Linked DNA regions of Astyanax mexicanus. The main gene of each other region encodes a partner of the protein of the gene in region 2 in a complex. Links are inferred from orthologs where the notes say so. Each region holds a gene or a part of one and is shown on either strand. Other genes may lie near its edges.

The links.
Region 1: the proteins of naa35 (region 2) and naa38 are in contact, whole or in part, in a cryo-EM structure (PDB 7MX2), measured with the Homo sapiens proteins. The link is inferred for Astyanax mexicanus from reciprocal best matches to the Homo sapiens genes NAA35 and NAA38. Residues at the interface, in NP_001308810.1 of Homo sapiens: Val30, Asp31, Ile32, Thr33, Phe36, Ala39, Cys40, Leu43, Leu45, Glu47, Leu48, Leu49, His50, Asp51, Phe54, Glu58, Ala59, Ala62, Ile63, Glu64, Met65, Met66, Ala72, Gly73, Met74, Gln306, Arg307, Leu309, Pro310, Pro311; in NP_001307854.1 of Homo sapiens: Ala41, Arg42, Leu45, Glu46, Leu48, Leu49, Arg61, Phe67, Leu68, Cys69, Thr70, Asp71, Arg72, Cys74, Ile77, Arg97, Val98, Leu99, Gly100, Leu101, Ala102, Met103, Val104, Pro105, His108, Ser111, Ile112, Glu113, Val114.

The regions. Positions count from the first base shown.
Region 1 is NC_064408.1:183,708-192,503, forward strand, and holds the start of naa38 (N-alpha-acetyltransferase 38, NatC auxiliary subunit), read right to left. Parts: upstream 3,447-8,796; 5' UTR 3,289-3,446; coding exon 3,256-3,288; intron 1,516-3,255; coding exon 1,347-1,515; intron 153-1,346; coding exon 40-152; 3' UTR 1-39. Other genes in the region: sat2b (diamine acetyltransferase 2b), read right to left, coding at 4,250-4,444, 4,625-4,665, 4,866-4,967, 5,048-5,131, 5,575-5,626, 5,929-5,991.
Region 2 is NC_064419.1:21,418,482-21,427,585, reverse strand, and holds the start of naa35 (N-alpha-acetyltransferase 35, NatC auxiliary subunit), read right to left. Parts: upstream 3,848-9,104; 5' UTR 3,753-3,847; intron 3,284-3,752; exon of another isoform or gene 3,114-3,283; intron 1,058-3,113; 5' UTR 967-1,057; coding exon 846-966; intron 1-845. Other genes in the region: agtpbp1 (cytosolic carboxypeptidase 1), read left to right, coding at 6,469-6,500, 8,200-8,330. UniProt on the Homo sapiens protein: Auxillary component of the N-terminal acetyltransferase C (NatC) complex which catalyzes acetylation of N-terminal methionine residues. N-terminal acetylation protects proteins from ubiquitination and degradation by the N-end rule pathway.

The DNA.
Region 1 (8,796 bases), on a different chromosome or scaffold from region 2:
AAACTACTCTTCCCATAATCCTCTGGAGGAGTTCAGCACTCAGAGTCCGTGAGCCGGCTGTAAACTCTCCGCCTCCACCTCGATCGAGACGACGTGATGACCCGGAATCATCGCCAGACCCAGAACCCTCGGCTCACCCTGAGAAAACGAGTCTGAGAGAGAGAGAGAGCAAATATGATACCGCTGAGCTAAATCTATGATTAGAATAGCACTTCTGAGGTAAATATATGATTATAATAACTCTGCTGAGGTAAATGTATGATTAGAATAGCACTGCTGAGGTAAATGTATGATTAGAGTAGCTCTGCTGAGGTAAATTCATAATTAGAATAGATCTACTGAGGTAAATGTATAGGTAAAGCAGCTCTACTGAGGTAAATATATGATGAGAATAGCTCTAATGAGGTAAATGTATGACTAGAATAGCATTGCTGAGGTACATGTATGATTAGAATAGCTCTTCTGAGGTAAATATAAAGTTAGAGTAGCTCGGCTGAGGTAAATGTATAGTTAAAGTATGATAATATGATTGTAGTTCTAAAATGGTTTGTGAAAGTAAGACAACTTGCATCTAAGCTCCTTAATTTCACAATATGAAATATATGTATATAGTTTAGAGATAGAGCGGCCAAATAGACAAAAACATAATTATATAACAAAGTTTTTACACATATATATCTCTTCTGAAATCTACAGTCAGTTTAGGCCACGCCCTCGATCTGTATCTGCAATTAGATTGGTCCCAAAAACACAGATCAGTCTGTCTATAATATTTTATATATTGTGTTTTGCAAAACCTTTATTTTAATTATATGTAATACTATTACTAGTGTCTTTATTAAACAGGATTGGCGTAATTCTATGTGTTGAAACTTATATGTTATATGTTAAAACACATACTTCTAGTACTACTTGTCAAATCAAGTGATCTCAAAAGTCTGGACCCCCTTTTCATTCAGTGTTTTTCTACATTGTAGATGTAAGAGAATATGTATGGAATTACAGCACTATATAAATGATATATAAGTGTATTAACAGCTTTCTGATCACTTATTTTATCATTGTTAATATTGTATTGTTAAATAAACTGTAAATATTCATTTTTACATTTCCAGACGTGCACCTCGTAGCTCCTAAAACAAGTGGAAAATGAGTATAAATATATTTATTTACTGCTGATAATTTACACACGACTCGTGCGCCCTCTGCTGGTTATAACGCAGTTCTGCTGCTTCACTTTCAGCTCTTTATCATTTTCTCTGCAAAATAAATCGGTTTATACTGTAATAAAATGGGCGGTGGATGGACCAATAGGGATGCTGTAAATTCTCGCGAGCTCCGCCCACCTGTGGACTTGAGGAACTCCTGGGCGGAGCCGAGGATGACGTTACAGTCGCGGTCGGTGCAGAGGAACAGTCCCACCAGCGTCCGGCCGTCCGTCATCCGGATCCTCATACTCTTATTCAACAGATTCTCCAGCTTCTGCCGAGCCGAGGAGTACACACACTCCTCCACCTGCACACACACACACACACATATATAAATATATACAGCTCTGGAAAATAATGAGTTTCTTTATCGAAAACCTCTGGAATATAATCAAGAGGAAGATGGATGATCACAAACCATCAAACCACCAAACTGAACTGCTTGAATTTTTGCACCAGGAGTAAAGCAGCATAAAGTTATCCAAAAGCAGTGTGTAAGACTGGTGGAGGAGAACATGATGCCAAGATGCATGAAAAAAACTGTGATTAAAAACCAGGATTATTCCACCAAATATGGATTATTTCTGAACTCTTAAAACTTTATGAATATGAACTTGTTGTTTTCTTTGCATTATTTGAGGTCTGAAAGCTCTGCATCTTTTTTGTTATTTCAGCCATTTCTCATTTTCTGTAAATAAATGCTCTAAATGAGAATATTTTTATTTGGAATTTGGGAGAAATGTTGTCTGTAGTTTATAGAATAAAACAACTATGTTCATTTTACTCAAACATAAACCTATAAATAGCAAAATCAGAGAAACTGATTCAGAAACTGAAGTGCTTTTTTCCATCTTCAGCAATCAGGATCTCTGAACAGCTCTTACAACAGAACACTAAAACTCCACACTAAGCTACTGTTCTTTATTTAATCCGGTTAGTTTCGGTTTCACACTGCAGTTCGGTGACTGAGCGATTAATCCTGATCTTACACCAAACGATTTTAAACGAGTCTGAATAAAATCCTGAGTGTTGTTAGAGGGGAGTTGTGGGGGCGTCGTCTCGATGGTTCAGTGTAAGGTATTTAAAAGATTGAAGGTTTAAGTCAGTATTTTTCTCGTCCTGCGTTCAGATAAAGTTCAGATAAAATCAACCGTGTTTAACATTAATCATATGTCTTGAGACTTGGCAACCAATAGGAGAAGAGCTACAGGAAGCTGCAAGGCAAGAATATTTAATGTAAATGTTTACAAACGATTTTAAAAAGAACACATTTAACTGTTAATAGATCGTATATACAGGCAGCACTTTAAAATCATTATATTTAAACTTATTTTATTTTGCACTACTTTGTCTCATTGTGCAGGTATTGTTATTTTTGATACAAACAAGTTTGTTATTTTGCATTAATTCTATTTAAAACAAAGGCAAATGTATAACATATTCTTTTACTTCCTCTATTACCGCATTTTGATCATCCTGAAATTTGGTAAAGAAATCCAATAGATTTACACTGTAGTGTTAAAGTGACTTTATTACAGAGGTTTAGCTGGTCTACCAGTATAACCCGTATGATCCAGCAGATCAGCATTAACAACAGATTCCAACAAAACATGAACTACCAGCTCCATTACCTCTAACCTTATAGTCCTCTAACTCTTATCTAGTACTTATCTAGTACCTGCAGTCTTTATGTAGATATCTACTGTTTCTCTGAGTGTGTCTGTGGTAAAGTGATAAAATTACTGGATTATAAACTTCCTCAGGATTAATAAATCAGATTAATCAGTAAATACTGATCCTCTGTTTATTATAAAGATATTTATTCTCATCAATACTTTAGTTTATACTGAAAAACATCACTGAGCTGAAACCTCTCCTCTATAATAACAGTATTAATAATATCACTATAATCACAGTAACACTGAGCTCCTGTAGTACTGAAGTAAATAATAACAGTAATCATAATCTCACTATAATCACTTCAAACACTGAGACATTAGCGGCTAATATTAGCGTTAGCATTAGCGTTAGCATTAGCCGCGCTTACCCCCTCCTGCAGCTCGGTGCCGTTCTCCTCCATGTTTTAATCACTCAGAGATGATCTAACACTGATCCCGGAGCGATTTAAAACCGAATATCGATTATTATTTACTGATTATTAACAATAAACACAGCGCTACTCAACCAGCCTGCAGCCGGAGCCCAAACACCGAGCCCGGGAAACTCACAGCGCCCCCGCCGCAGCGGAGCGGTACTGCACCCTGATAATGCTAACGCTAACCGCTAATGCTAACCGTTATTGCTAACACTAATTACTAGTATTTTTTTTTATTCACACAAATATAAACACTTGTACAGCTACACACAAAAGAGTTTATTTTCCAGTCACCTGCATCAAACAATACAATCTATTTATTTTATTTAACAAATCATATCTGTCAGTTTTTAACATGAAGTAAATTACTGCTAAAGCTGCAGGACCCTTAATTACTAAAATAAATAAAAATCACCCGAATCTAACAATATAATCTCTTTATTTATTACAACAAGAAACAAATTAACCATGACATGTTTGATTAATATAAATGACTTTTATAGGCATAAACAGTGCTGTTTAATTCACACAGACATTAACATCACCCCAAATAAAGCAATATAATTCATTTATTTGACATTTATTTATTTATTTATATAAAAGTGAAACAAACTATAGCCGGATAAACAGCAGAGAATTAAATTTACACAGAAATAAACATCATCCTGTATAAAACAACATAATCTCTTTATTGATCTGGATAAAAAACAAAACTAATGATTTCTGTCAGTTTTTAACAGGATAGAGTAAAATAATGCTACAAGACTCTTATTTTCTAAATTAAGTCCTAAATTCACTCAAAAATCATTATAATTTTTAATAATGTGATAAAAACTCTTTGATCTTTGATTTTATTGGGACAGATTAACTCTAACGGAGTTAGCACGGCGAGCGGCTAACCGCTGTACGCTAACCGAACACTGTTCATAACACCGGTGGTGTTTATTCAGGTGGAACAGGTGGAAGTGGGCGGAGCTTCCTGAGCCAGGTTATCCAGAGCCTCTCCATCAAAGCGCAAGAAGTGCCAGCCCTCCTTATCCGTCAGGTCCTGCGCACCTTTCGACAGGTAAAACTCCAGCGAAGGTTTGTTCCAGTCCAGAACCGAGAACTGCAACCGTACACACTGCTGCTCTGTAGCTACCTACAACACACACACACCAGAAATCACACACCTAACAACACCTGTATACAACCTGCACACCTGTAGACCTAATCAAAATCAGTAAATTTAGTACATATTAGTTAGCGTTTATTTTAGTGTATTTTTTATTCATTATTTTTGTATTTATAATTATTATATGTATAATAAACACAGACTCACCTTGGCGATTGTCGCCATCAGAGCTTTCCCAACACCTTTACCTGTAAGTAAGCAGAGTAACCGAAAGTTAACTTCATACTGCAGACCTCTTGCTGGAATTTTCCGTTCCACCTTAAATGCTGCAGCAGTTACAGTAGTAATGCCTGAGGTGTATTTAAGGTGGAACAGACAGTTCCATTCAGAGACCTGCACGCAAGACCGTATTTATACAGGTACAGGTGTGTAAGTATCACTAACACACCTCTGAAGTTGGGCATGACGTACAGGTCCTCCATGTAGACGCAGCGCCCGCTCCAGGTGCTGTAGGTGTAGAAATACAGAGCGTAGCCCACCACCGTGTGACCTGCACCCCCCCAAACCCCAACACAGTCAGACCGAGGGGAGCGTTTACCTGATACAGGTGAAACAGGTGAGTTACTGTACCTTCAGGAGAACAGTGTTCCTGCGCCACCTCCGCTACCAAACACTGAAAAAACGGGTTCGGACCAAACCCATCCCGCTCCAGCTCTGAAACCGCAACACACACACACACACACTAAGTACCCACACACCTGCACACCTGAACAATACCTGCACTGAACCTGCACACCTGAACAATACCTGCACTGAACCTGCACACCTGAACAATACCTGCACTGATCCTGCACACCTGAACAATACCTGTACTGAACCTGCACACCTGAACAATACCTGTACTGAACCTGCACACCTGAACAATACCTGTACTGAACCTGCACACCTGAACAATACCTGTACTGAACCTGCACACCTGAACAATACCTGTACTGAACCTGCACACCTGAACAATACCTGTACTGAACCTGCACACCTGAACAATACCTGTACTGAACCTGCACACCTGAACAATACCTGTACTGAACCTGCACACCTGAATAATACCTGCACTGAACCTGCACACCTGTAAGCTGTTCACCTGAACTTAAATTAACCTTTGTGAGAGATCTTCACCTGGTCAGGCATCTTCTCATACACAGCCAGATCCTACACACACACCAACACACACACAAACACACCAACACACACACACACACACACACACACACACACACACACACACACACAGTGAGAGTAAGTTGGACTTTAGTCAGAGTTAGTTAGACAGAGTTCCTCTGTTCCTGAAAATAACTCAGTAAATTAAATATAAGAGCAGGTTATAAATATTAATATAATGTACTGAAATTACTGTAACTATAGTAACGGTTACGTGCAATTACTGTAACTGTTATATGTAATTAAAGTAATTGTAATTGTACAGTGTAATTAATGTAATTACCCCCCCTCACCATGATCATGCGCTGTATATCAGTGCAGTCCTGAGCGCGCGCTGGCCGGATGCTGTACTTCATGCTGTGAGATTTTTGACCAGACTGATTGGTTTAATCGATCCGCAGTAACTGATCACTGATCAGCGTCCGCGCGCGCAGCACTGCCGCACTTTCTACACGCGGCTCCTCCGCAGAACTACAGAGCGTCACTGCTGCGCAGCATTTACGCAGCTGCGCAGTCATATGCAATGACATACTCACACTTTATATATAACTATACACTATACACACTATGTATGTATATGTATATATATATATTCACACACACTATCAGATTTAGAGTTTTTAATATTATACTAGTATATTATAATAGTACTGTAAACACATTAATTACACAATTATAATAATAATTTTAATAATAATAATAATAATAACAATAATAATCATATTGTTATTATGTTAATTAAGATCATGTGACTGAGTAGAAAACTAAACTTTTATAAACAGATTTATATAAACATATTCTATTAAACTGAGAACAGAATTATATCCCATAATATAACTTAAACAAAATAGTTATTAAAAAAAATCATTATTATCGTCTGAATAAATGGCTGTAGTTGGAATCAGGTATTGATTAATGGTTGATTATTGATTGTAATTCAGTAGTGATCAGTAAGACACACTCCTCTTTCCTCTCTGATCCACTAAGACCCTGCACTTCAACGTCTGGTCCCGCCCACACACACGCCCCTGGTCGGCTGGCCACGCCCACTCTGATTACAGTTGGAGCGCGAGCAGAAGTTTCAGCTTTTGCTGGAGAAGGATCAACCGATACGCACTATAAACTATACACACACACACACACACTCACACACACACTATACACACACTTTGCACTATACACTATAAACACACACAGTGCAGAACCTGTGATTATTGGGACGTATTGATTAAGGGTTTATTGACTCAGCGGCACCTCCTGCAGCTCAGAGGTAAGAACCGGTACTGCACTACTGACCTACTGTTCACTACTGACCTACTGTTCACTACTGACCTACTGTTCACTACTGACCTACTGATCACCACTGACCTACTGTTCACCACTGACCTACTGTTTACTACTGACCTACTGTTCACTACTGACCTACTGTTCACTACTGACCTACTGTTCACCACTGACCTACTGTTCACTACTGACCTACTGTTTACTACTGACCTACTGTTCACTACTGACCTACTGTTCACTACTGACCTACTGTTCACCACTGACCTACTGTTCACTACTGACCTACTGTTCACCACTGACCTACTGTTCACCACTGACCTACTGTTCACTACTGACCTACTGTTTACTACTGACCTACTGTTCACCACTGACCTACTGTTCACCACTGACCTACTGTTCACTACTGACCTACTGATCACCACTGACCTACTGTTTACTACTGACCTACTGTTCACCACTGACCTACTGTTCACCACTGACCTACTGTTCACTACTGACCTACTGATCACCACTGACCTACTGTTTACTACTGACCTACTGTTCACTACTGACCTACTGTTCACTACCCGCCTACTGTTCACCACTGACCTACTGTTCACTACTGACCTACTGTTCACTACTGACCTACTGTTCACCACTGACCTACTGTTCACTACTGACCTACTGTTCACCACTGACCTACTGTTCACTACTGACCTACTGATCACCACTGACCTACTGTTTACTACTGACCTACTGTTCACTACTGACCTACTGTTCACTACCCGCCTACTGTTCACCACTGACCTACTGTTCACTACTGACCTACTGTTCACTACTGACCTACTGATCACCACTGACCTACTGTTTACTACTGACCTACTGTTCACTACTGACCTACTGTTCACCACTGACCTACTGTTCACTACTGACCTACTGTTTACTACTGACCTACTGTTTACTACTGACCTACTGTTCACCACTGACCTACTGTTCACTACTGACCTACTGTTCACTACTGACCTACTGTTTACTACTGACCTACTGATCACCACTGACCTACTGTTTACTACTGACCTACTGTTTACTACTGACCTACTGTTCACTACTGACCTACTGTTTACTACTGACCTACTGTTCACCACTGACCTACTGTTTACTACTGACCTACTGTTCACCACTGACCTACTGTTTACTACTGACCTACTGTTCACCACTGACCTACTGTTCACTACTGACCTACTGTTCACTACTGACCTACTGTTTACTACTGACCTACTGTTTACTACTGACCTACTGTTTACTACTGACCTACTGTTCACTACTGACCTACTGTTTACTACTGACCTACTGTTTACTACTGACCTACTGTTCACTACTGACCTACTGATCACCACTGACCTACTGTTCACCACTGACCTACTGTTTACTACTGACCTACTGTTCACTACTGACCTACTGTTCACCACTGACCTACTGTTCACTACTGACCTACTGTTCACCACTGACCTACTGTTCACTACTGACCTACTGTTTACTACTGACCTACTGTTCACTACTGACCTACTGTTCACTACTGACCTACTGATCACCACTGACCTACTGTTCACCACTGACCTACTGTTTACTACTGACCTACTGTTCACTACTGACCTACTGTTCACCACTGACCTACTGTTCACTACTGACCTACTGTTCACCACTGACCTACTGTTCACTACTGACCTACTGTTTACTACTGACCTACTGTTCACTACTGACCTACTGTTCACTACTGACCTACTGTTCACCACTGACCTACTGTTCACTACTGACCTACTGTTCACCACTGACCTACTGTTCACCACTGACCTACTGTTCACTACTGACCTACTGTTTACTACTGACCTACTGTTCAC
Region 2 (9,104 bases):
AAAAGGTTCTTATCAGCAGAGCTTCAGACAGTATTTTATTACTGTGCAGTATGTCACAGAAATCTGTTTGGGATATAGCCTCCAATAGGTATAGACAGCATGCAAACAGTGTGCTGAAGCTATGGAAATGGGTGAACTGACTATTGTTCTGCTGAACAGGTGATGACTGAGTTTTAGTAAGGTTGATAACAGTAGCTGGGTAATTTATCACTACCAATGGTGTAGTAGAGACAGGTTACTGATCAGCTACAGAGTAAGTCTTGTTGTTGATTGCCACTGTGTGTCAGTCCGGTAACCCGTGCTTGGGTGATTAAAAGGCAGAGATTACATTCTATCTGTGTATCAAAGCAAACGTATTGTATATATGGTTCTCTTGTGTCTGTCCACTGGATTCTATTACAGTGTGTTTTGAGTCAACAGGTTTTATGTTATTTATCAATATTATCATCTGTGACTGAGGTATTCGTTTAAGACTTTGGTCACAGCCATTTAAAGTCATATCCCCTATAAAGCCTTCACCAGGTTACAAATTCTGATTATTATGAGAAACATAAGCATAAAGAAAGGTTCTCAGAATGTTTCTCAGAGCTCAGTGGAAAAAGGGTTATTCTGGGAGAGATCTGATGTCCTGGGAGAGCCAGTCTGCGATATCACAGCTGCCTCTATTGGTTCCAATAACAACAAAATGCTGGAACACGGACAGGTTCTGGGTCAGTTCAGTGAAAATGATCACTCTGATCCAGGAGCAGCTTCACGTTGCACCCAGAACAAAGGGGAGGCGATGCGAGCATGTTGCTATGTTGACATTCAGGTGTCAGTGATACGTATAACTCTGTCAAACACACCTTTACAGGCCCCTTTGAAGTCTTGGGTGATGTCCACCCAGTTGGCGTTGTTCCTCATCTTCTCTGGGATGCCGAGACCCCATCCACCTTCGTCCTCCTCCACTGACGATTTCATCACCATGGGGACGGATGCAAACAACAAAGCAGCAGATCTTCAGGTTAGGAGACGAGGCCTAGAGCACCACGCCGTTGCTGTGGAGCGATTCACAGTACTGTAAATACAACAGAACAATGATACAATTAGTCAGAGTGCCTTTCATACTCCTGTATGCTGATAATGTATAAAATATTGTTTACTGCAATAAACAGTATATTACCATCACTGCCAGTATCCAGAAATGCTAAAATATCTGCTTACTATTCATTATACTACACAGGTGTTACAGTATATTTCTTTTTAATGAAAATTAGGTACTAGTACTACGTTCCAAATTGTAACAGTACATTAGATTACATTTGGCAGATGCTTTTATCGAATAGCGACTTACAAATAATGATTTACATTTAGTAATAGAGTACATAGAAGTTCAAGGCAAAAAACTTGGGATTAGTGGGACAGAGGAGAAAAGCAGGAGAAGTAGTTAGTTTGTTAGAGGTGTTAGGAGAGTAAGTGCTCTTTGAAGAGCTCAGACATCAGGAGTTTCATAAAGATAGCAAGGGATGCTCCAGCTCTGGTAGTGAAACAACTTGCATTATACCACATTCAGTTCTGACCCTGCAATGTGATTGGCTGAGAGGCTTCTATTAGAGCTGCAAAGATTAGTCGATATAATCAACAGTGCCGATTATTTAAATTTGTCGACTACAAATTTAATTGTCGACTAATCGTTCATTTGTAACAGTACCGCATTACACAAAGTGCTGGGGACAGAAGCGCAATTGAAGATGGGTAAATGGCTCACTCACACAGTTTACACTTAACTTAGTCTGTGTCTCCAAAAGTACCCAAACTCTACAGATTACATATTTACTCACTAAATATCAGTACTTTCCACGTTTAAACAACATCCAGACATTTAAATGCCTTATGAATCTCACGTTCAGCTGTTTCTATTGTTTTTAGAGATAGTCGACTACCAAAATAATCATTAGTTGCAGCCCTAGCTTCTATGAATACAGTTATCAGTTGGTAATTCACTGTAACTGAAGCTCCCCATGTATTACTTCGCCACATACGGGTAACCTACCAACAATGCAGCTCTTACAAACAGCACAACTATAAACAGAGCAGCAACAACTGTCACAATTAATTACAGTGGATTCATTAAATCTATTGGCTTTGAAAGCATTGGTTTCGTTCTGAAACCAGAGGATAAATCTATAAATGACCTGCCTGACACCTCCAATGACCCAAGGTTTGATGCGGTTTAAACAATGATTAGTAGAGCTGGAAATGCAGAGAAATGGAGTTAAAATAGTAAAACAAACGTCCTGGACTCTTAATGTATTTACATCCTGGTTAAAGAGCAACAACATTAAAGTCGATTTAGAATTATAAACCAAAACGAAATGAATCAGCTTCTACTATGTAAAGACGCAGATTTTACACCAGTAAACAATGTCTTTGTGGGCATTGTAAAGAGAATAAGAAACAATGGAGGAAACAGAACTTTTCACCATCCAGCAATATTATCTGAAGACCTTGCAAAAACCTACCAGTCAAAAGCACATGATCCTGGAACCCTGAGAGGTCTTTCAAATAAGGCCTCACCTAAAACTAATCTGAATTGTTTTTAACCCTAAAGGTTTGGGTCAACATTTTGGCGGATGAAGAAAGGAAAGAAATATTGAGATTCGCCGAAAATCATTTACGATACAGGAAGATGACAATGGGGAAAAATGTCACTATCCTTTTTCCTGCGCTTTAATAAGCTGTGGGTGTGCATTTTTTTATTATTTAATTTTTTAATGTCCTTTAAGGAGCTTCGTAGAGATGCAATAAAATAATATTAGCCATTTTACTGAATTAAATTTATAGAAAATACATTAATAAACATGCAGAAACTAAACTCAAAAGAGAACAGGTGAAAGGGAGTAGCGGTCCAGTTTTATGGAGCGGTCATTTAAACACATTGGCAGTAGTCCACAGTCTTTATATGGCTGGGTTTCAGTTAAAAAGAGCCAACTTTGGTGTTTGGTGTTTAGTGTGTGTGTGTGTGTGTGTGTGTGTGTGTGTGTGGGTGTGGGAAAGCTCAGTGTGTGGTCAAGAGTTCCCAAGAAGGAAGTAGACATAGACATAGTAAGCTTGACAAATGCCCTAATTTGAACTATGGCAAACATCAGTAGCTAATAGTCATTAACACACAGACTGAGCTGGTCATGGATATCTGGATTAACTAGTCATCTAACCTAGCTAACTCGTTCTGCAGCTTTATTTATTGTGAGAGGGAATGGGAGGGGGAGGAAATGAGTGTCAGACCTCCAGACAAGCATTAAAGGTGAGTAGCCAAGCCTGCGTACAGAACAACTGTTCTGTGGTGATTGGAACCCTAAGGGGTTTAGTTACTGAAATAGGTGGCAATACAAAGTCTGTTTGAAAGGAAGAAGAATGGCATTTTTCATTTAACCAACCGTAACACAATATGCGACAACGAGAAAAAACAGTTGACTGCGGCTGCTAGGTTAGGTATGTGAAATGTAATGGCTGTGTTATGTTTGTGTACAGTATAGCTTAGCTAACCTAGCTTAGCTAGCTATCTATCTATCTGACATTCAGTGTCCAGCTCGTTAACCTAGCTTAGCTTAGCTAACCTAGCAAGCGACCACATAACGACTAACAACAAGCTAAAACTCCGGATTTAACACTGCCAATTATTTCAGTTCATACAGCAATATGTTAACTAGCTTCGCGTTTATACGGTTATCACTTAACATCACCGCAATTAATGGATAAAACAGATAATTTACCTTATAAATGACTAGCTAGCGTACTCCCCTGCAGCCACTCATCACCGCTTCCACTGGTCACCGGTGATAGACGTTGCGCCGAACTGCATTATAGGATTTGTAGTTCTGAATATTTCGCAAACCATCCACGCCTTTAGACCTATGTACATATTTTATTTCAAGTCCTGAATGTATAACGTTGTATTAATTGTTGTGCAGGTTGAGATGCCTTAAGACGATACTTTTTTTAAATAAATCTCTATTTTTTCCTCAAAATAAACCGTAAAATCTCTCAAAGTACTACATTTCCCAGTATACGTCTTATGTTACTTGTGCCGTAACTTGAATCCGCAGATTTCCAAGCCGTTGCTGTCACACCGCCGTGCGCGTGCATGACTTGTAGATCGCAGATTTTGCGCAAAGTCAGAACAGTGAGAACTGTCCCAGTACGGTGTAATAAAGCCAGAGATGTTTATGTAGAGCCTTCCAACTTCCCACATGTTTCCCCGTTCTAGCAAAAAAGGAGTGTTAACCGATAGGGGGCGATCACGAGCGAGTCTTCAATTAATGGGAGTGAATGGAGCTAAATGGCTACAAACTAAAATTAAAAACAGTGTCTAACAACTTGTTCAGGATATCCATTTAATTTCGGAAAATCTAATGAAGCATTTTCTTAAAAAATAAAGAAACTTATAACTTATAACTTGTTTTTCTCTTAATTACTTTCTACTGTGAACTGACTGTTTGATCCAATGCAGAAGGCCCAGTCCCATTTCACCCCTTGGCCCTATTGTTTGTTTTTGTTTTGTTTTGTTTTATTGATCTTTAAAGTTTTAGGGTAATATAAAGAAACCACAATGGAAGACAGTATAAAAATATACATTATGGAGAAAAAAAGAAAAAAAAACAAGAGGCCAGTGAAAGCTTATCACAAATTCTTACAGTTTTTTTTCTTATTTTTAGTAATTCTAAAGGATTTCAATAGTGATGTAAAATGTTTGTATGTACTCAATAAAATAAAAATGTTAATAATAAATTCCTAGACATAATATATCTATGTCAATGTATAAAAAAACATAACATATCCCCAAGGTTCAGGTTCACATAAATGTTGGTTTTCTTCAAAATTTTAGGTGCAATGGAACATAAAAAAAGATGTGATACTAATTCACATTTTGATTGACATAAGGAGCATTTAACATATTTTTAAATTTTGCAATTTTCTAATTCATAGGAGATATATGTTGTGAAGTATTTTCTAATGCACTCCCTAGTTTTATTGGGGATATTTGGGAACATTTATAGGGTAAAAGCCATGCTTTTGTCCAATTTTTATCTTGGATCGTGGTATTCCAAAAGAAAAGTTCCTTCTAGGTGTAGCATATTTTCTTAAATGAAACACATTCCTTATTAATTTATTAGTGCATTTTAGGTCAAAGACACAAACACTGCCTTCTAAAAACTGACATTCCTCATTCCCCACTTTTTTTTTACATGAAATGTGACTTTTTCTAAGGTTAATATGATAAGGATGAGGATTTCATAAGGATTTTACCGCTTCCCCATGTTAGTCAGTATGAAAATGATTAAACATTTATAAACTATGATTTTGCTCCATTTTCCCATTTGAACCCATTCATGTTGGACTCACTCTGGAGCGGCCTCTAGTGTTGTGAAAAGCCCCATAGAGACTCATAGAGTAGGAGTTCTCTCTGTCAGAGAGTCTCTGCTGTAAGCTGGCAGGCAGGCAGGCCAGATGGATTGCTAGTAAATAATAATAACACCAGGGCGTTGCGAGCATCTGCTTAAGATAACAGACAAAGAGCAGGAGCCGCTAAACTCAGATGGAGCAGCTTTGCCTTAAATGTAAGTTAAACCTCGTTTCTGATCCTCCGATTCAGGGTATTAGTGCAGTTGGAGCTGTAGTGACACTTCAGGGCTGGATTCGCTCGCTAGCCCGGTCGTTAGCCCCTCGCTGGGGCAGGTGCAGCTGACATGGTGCTGAACTGGGTTAGTTCAGGGCAATAATACCAGCCGGGAGCTTTATGACAGCTGTTAGGTTCAATTAAAAAACACTGGTGTGATTAAATTCTGTGCTACAGTGCTTTATTTATCATCTGTCGATGCGTGGCAGCTTTGTTTTAGGAGTCACCATAACCTCCCCGGGCATAGGGGACCTGTTTTAGCCAGCTAGCGATAGCCAGGTTAGCTAACCATGCTAACGCTAGATAACCTAGGTTAGCTAACTAGCTTAACTGTCATTACAGCTGCAGGGCTGAAGGGTTTTGTAGCTAGTTGGCTTTATTTCGTTTGTAGTTAATTATCTAGGTTAAATTTGTCTAAATTATTTACTAGCTAAGATAAATATCACATTAAAACCAAGGCTGTCACATTAAAGCCAAAGCTTAGTAGCTATGTTACTAATGTCATTAATGCTGCGTAAATAATGCTGTGTTTTTAGGTTTCTAGGTAAGCTAGTTAACCCTACTGTCCAATAAGGTGTTTTTACAGTAGACGGCATTAACTTTTATTAATTAAAACATATTTATCTGGCTCAACAGTTACTAAGTTAATTATTTAATTTAATGTGAATAATATACTGTAATTCAAAGAATAAAAATAATGAGAAGAATAGAAAGAAAAGTGTAGTTTATATGTAGTAATTATGCACAACTGTTATGTTTATGGCTGTGTCTTTCTTTTGCAGTGTGACTAATCTCTCTGTGGATGGCAAGAAATGGATAAACCCAAAATGGCTACAGAGAAAGGGTGAACACACAAACATGCACACACTCTTAAATCATTTACTCTACATTTATAAGCATTTTTACATTTAAAGAGGGTCAGTCTAATGTTCATCAGGTCAGAGTTTTTGAAACTAAAGCCCTATTCAGACGGGTCTAGTTTCTTAGGGGGTCCTGGGGTAATTTTCTCTTTTATTTTAATTTTAATTTTCTCTGTGCGTTGCTATGTTTTTAATGCAAATTAAATAATTACGCTTTCAAGTTTGACCCCATCTTCTTCTGTAATCTGCCCCGCCCAACCTGCAGATTTTGGTCTCAAACGAACTCTGGAGTGATTCACTAGTGCTAAGAACTCAATCTGGTCTTGATCCAGCTTTCAAATATTCTTCTTATTAATTAAGCCAAACTGCTGGTAAGGTGCAGTTTAATCTGATATATTTGCCAGATAATATAATGCTATGAACAAGCACTGTCCCTGCCAATTGTGGTTTCAGCAGTTGATGGTAAGCTACATGATCGGGATTCGAACCAGCAATCTCCCGATAAGTGACAGCACTTAGCCTGATGGACCACGTGGAGCCCTCTACACTTAATTCAAAAAGAAGTGCATTTTATTGGTAGCTGACTGAATACAATGTACTAATTTAAAAATGATGTACTTTCAAAACTCTTGCAACTGGACTGCAAAAAAAAAAAAAACAGGAGGACCAGTGAGTTTTTTGGTTCAGTAGCTCCTCCATTTCCACTTGCTGTTGTATTTACATAAATCTCTGTGAAAATGCGCGCCCCAAGCGTGGCAGTAGACAAATAGCTATTTCATCAAATGTGAGGCGGCGAAACTGGGGAAGTTGGGGTCAAACGTATTTTTAATTTGCATTAAAAAATAGTAAATTAATCGTGTGCATTAATGCTTTAACGTTGACAGCCATGGTTAAAACAGTTAAGTAGTAACAAATGCTGTGATGTGAGCATGCCCAGTGGCTATTTTGTGAAAGCTAAGGGAAGGCATAGACTTTATGAGTCTATTTTGAAGTTGTTTTGGTCAAACATGATCTTTAACCTTGCGTTTGCATTTATCCCTGTCTTGTCTTCAGGCACCCTCTATTAGCATACTGGGTGTGTCTTTCTTCCCTCATTCACCCTTGTTATGTAGTTCTTCCCTATGCTACCATCCCCTATTTGTACCATTATGTGCAAGTTATTTTCAAGTGTAGCTGATTGGCCTCAGAGTTAAAGACTGCAGGAACAAGTTCACACTTTCAGTGTTACTTTAAGTTGCCAAAACTGTGTTCTCTGGAATGATGGTCACAACAATGCTCCATAATCTAATATAAAGCTTTCCCTGAACAATAGAGAAAGTTACTAAAGCATATTAAACTCTCTGAATTTTTATTTTAAATAAACTGGTTTCCCAATGCTTTCACCAGTGAACTCTGTTCTGATTGGGTGTGGCATATGGTACTTGATTCAAAGAACAATCCAGGCTGAAATACTCCTCTTTACCTTTATCTTGAATAGGTAAATATATGTTAATGTGAATACAATAAATTTTAATAAAAAGTGGAACTCGTGTGTGATGGATTTTTATGTAATGGTTTACATATTTCAGGAAAAATGATATAGGCTCTTCAATAAATATTGCTAAATAGGTTGTAAACTGCACCACTTATATTGAAAATCATATCTCTTAGGCTTATTTATTGTCTTGGTGTGTGTCTTCGCAGAATCCCCAGTAGTTCCCGGGTGCTGATGTTGCTGGGGCAGCTGGAGCGCCTGAATGGAGAGGTGTTGGTCACTGACACTGAGGCGGTCAGGCAGGTGACAGGCAAAATCCTGCATCTCATTCAGACTCAAGGTGAGAAAACACAAACTCATGCTGATCATTCCTTGCTGCTGGGCCACATAAATGCGCAAACCTGCTTACAAGTACAGTCATAGGAAAAAATGAGGACATCAAATAAAAAACTGATGGATGAAGCCAGCATCATCATGTACAATAATCTTTTACAGTGTGAATCATAGAAATACAGTTTTTCTGTAAAATGTTTCTGTAAAAAATTCTGTTAAATGGTTAAAAAATATTCAATTTCAATATTTGAAACTTTGTCCTTGAAGTATGTCTTAAAATAGCACAAACGTACTGAAACACTAGGTGATGGGCTGTTAATAATAGACCAAAGTAGGCCCACTTGGTGCAGATCAAAACAACAATAGCAAGCCATTGTAAGGTAAGGTATCTTTGCCCAGTTTTGGAGATGAGTGTGTCATTCAGTGTCAGCAAACACCTAAGCAAGTCTGTTTGTGTTTACCTAAAAGAGTATATCCACCCTCAATATCAGAAAATGTAGCGTAGACAGCAGACAATTAGAGTCTCTTTTGCTTTGTAAGTTGCTTTAGAGAGTTGTGAGAGTGCCAACAATTAGTAGGTCTCTGTTATATAATTAAGGAGAAAATTCTCATTGGTTTATCATTAACTAAGGTGAATATACAAACAGCAGAACTACATTTGCAACCTCTCTGGCCAGCAAAAATGAAAATCATGAGCATATAATGATAAATGAAGGATAAATATGTGGTTTTAACTAGAGATGGAAGGATTAAACAGCTACGTATCTGTATTTGCTGATTT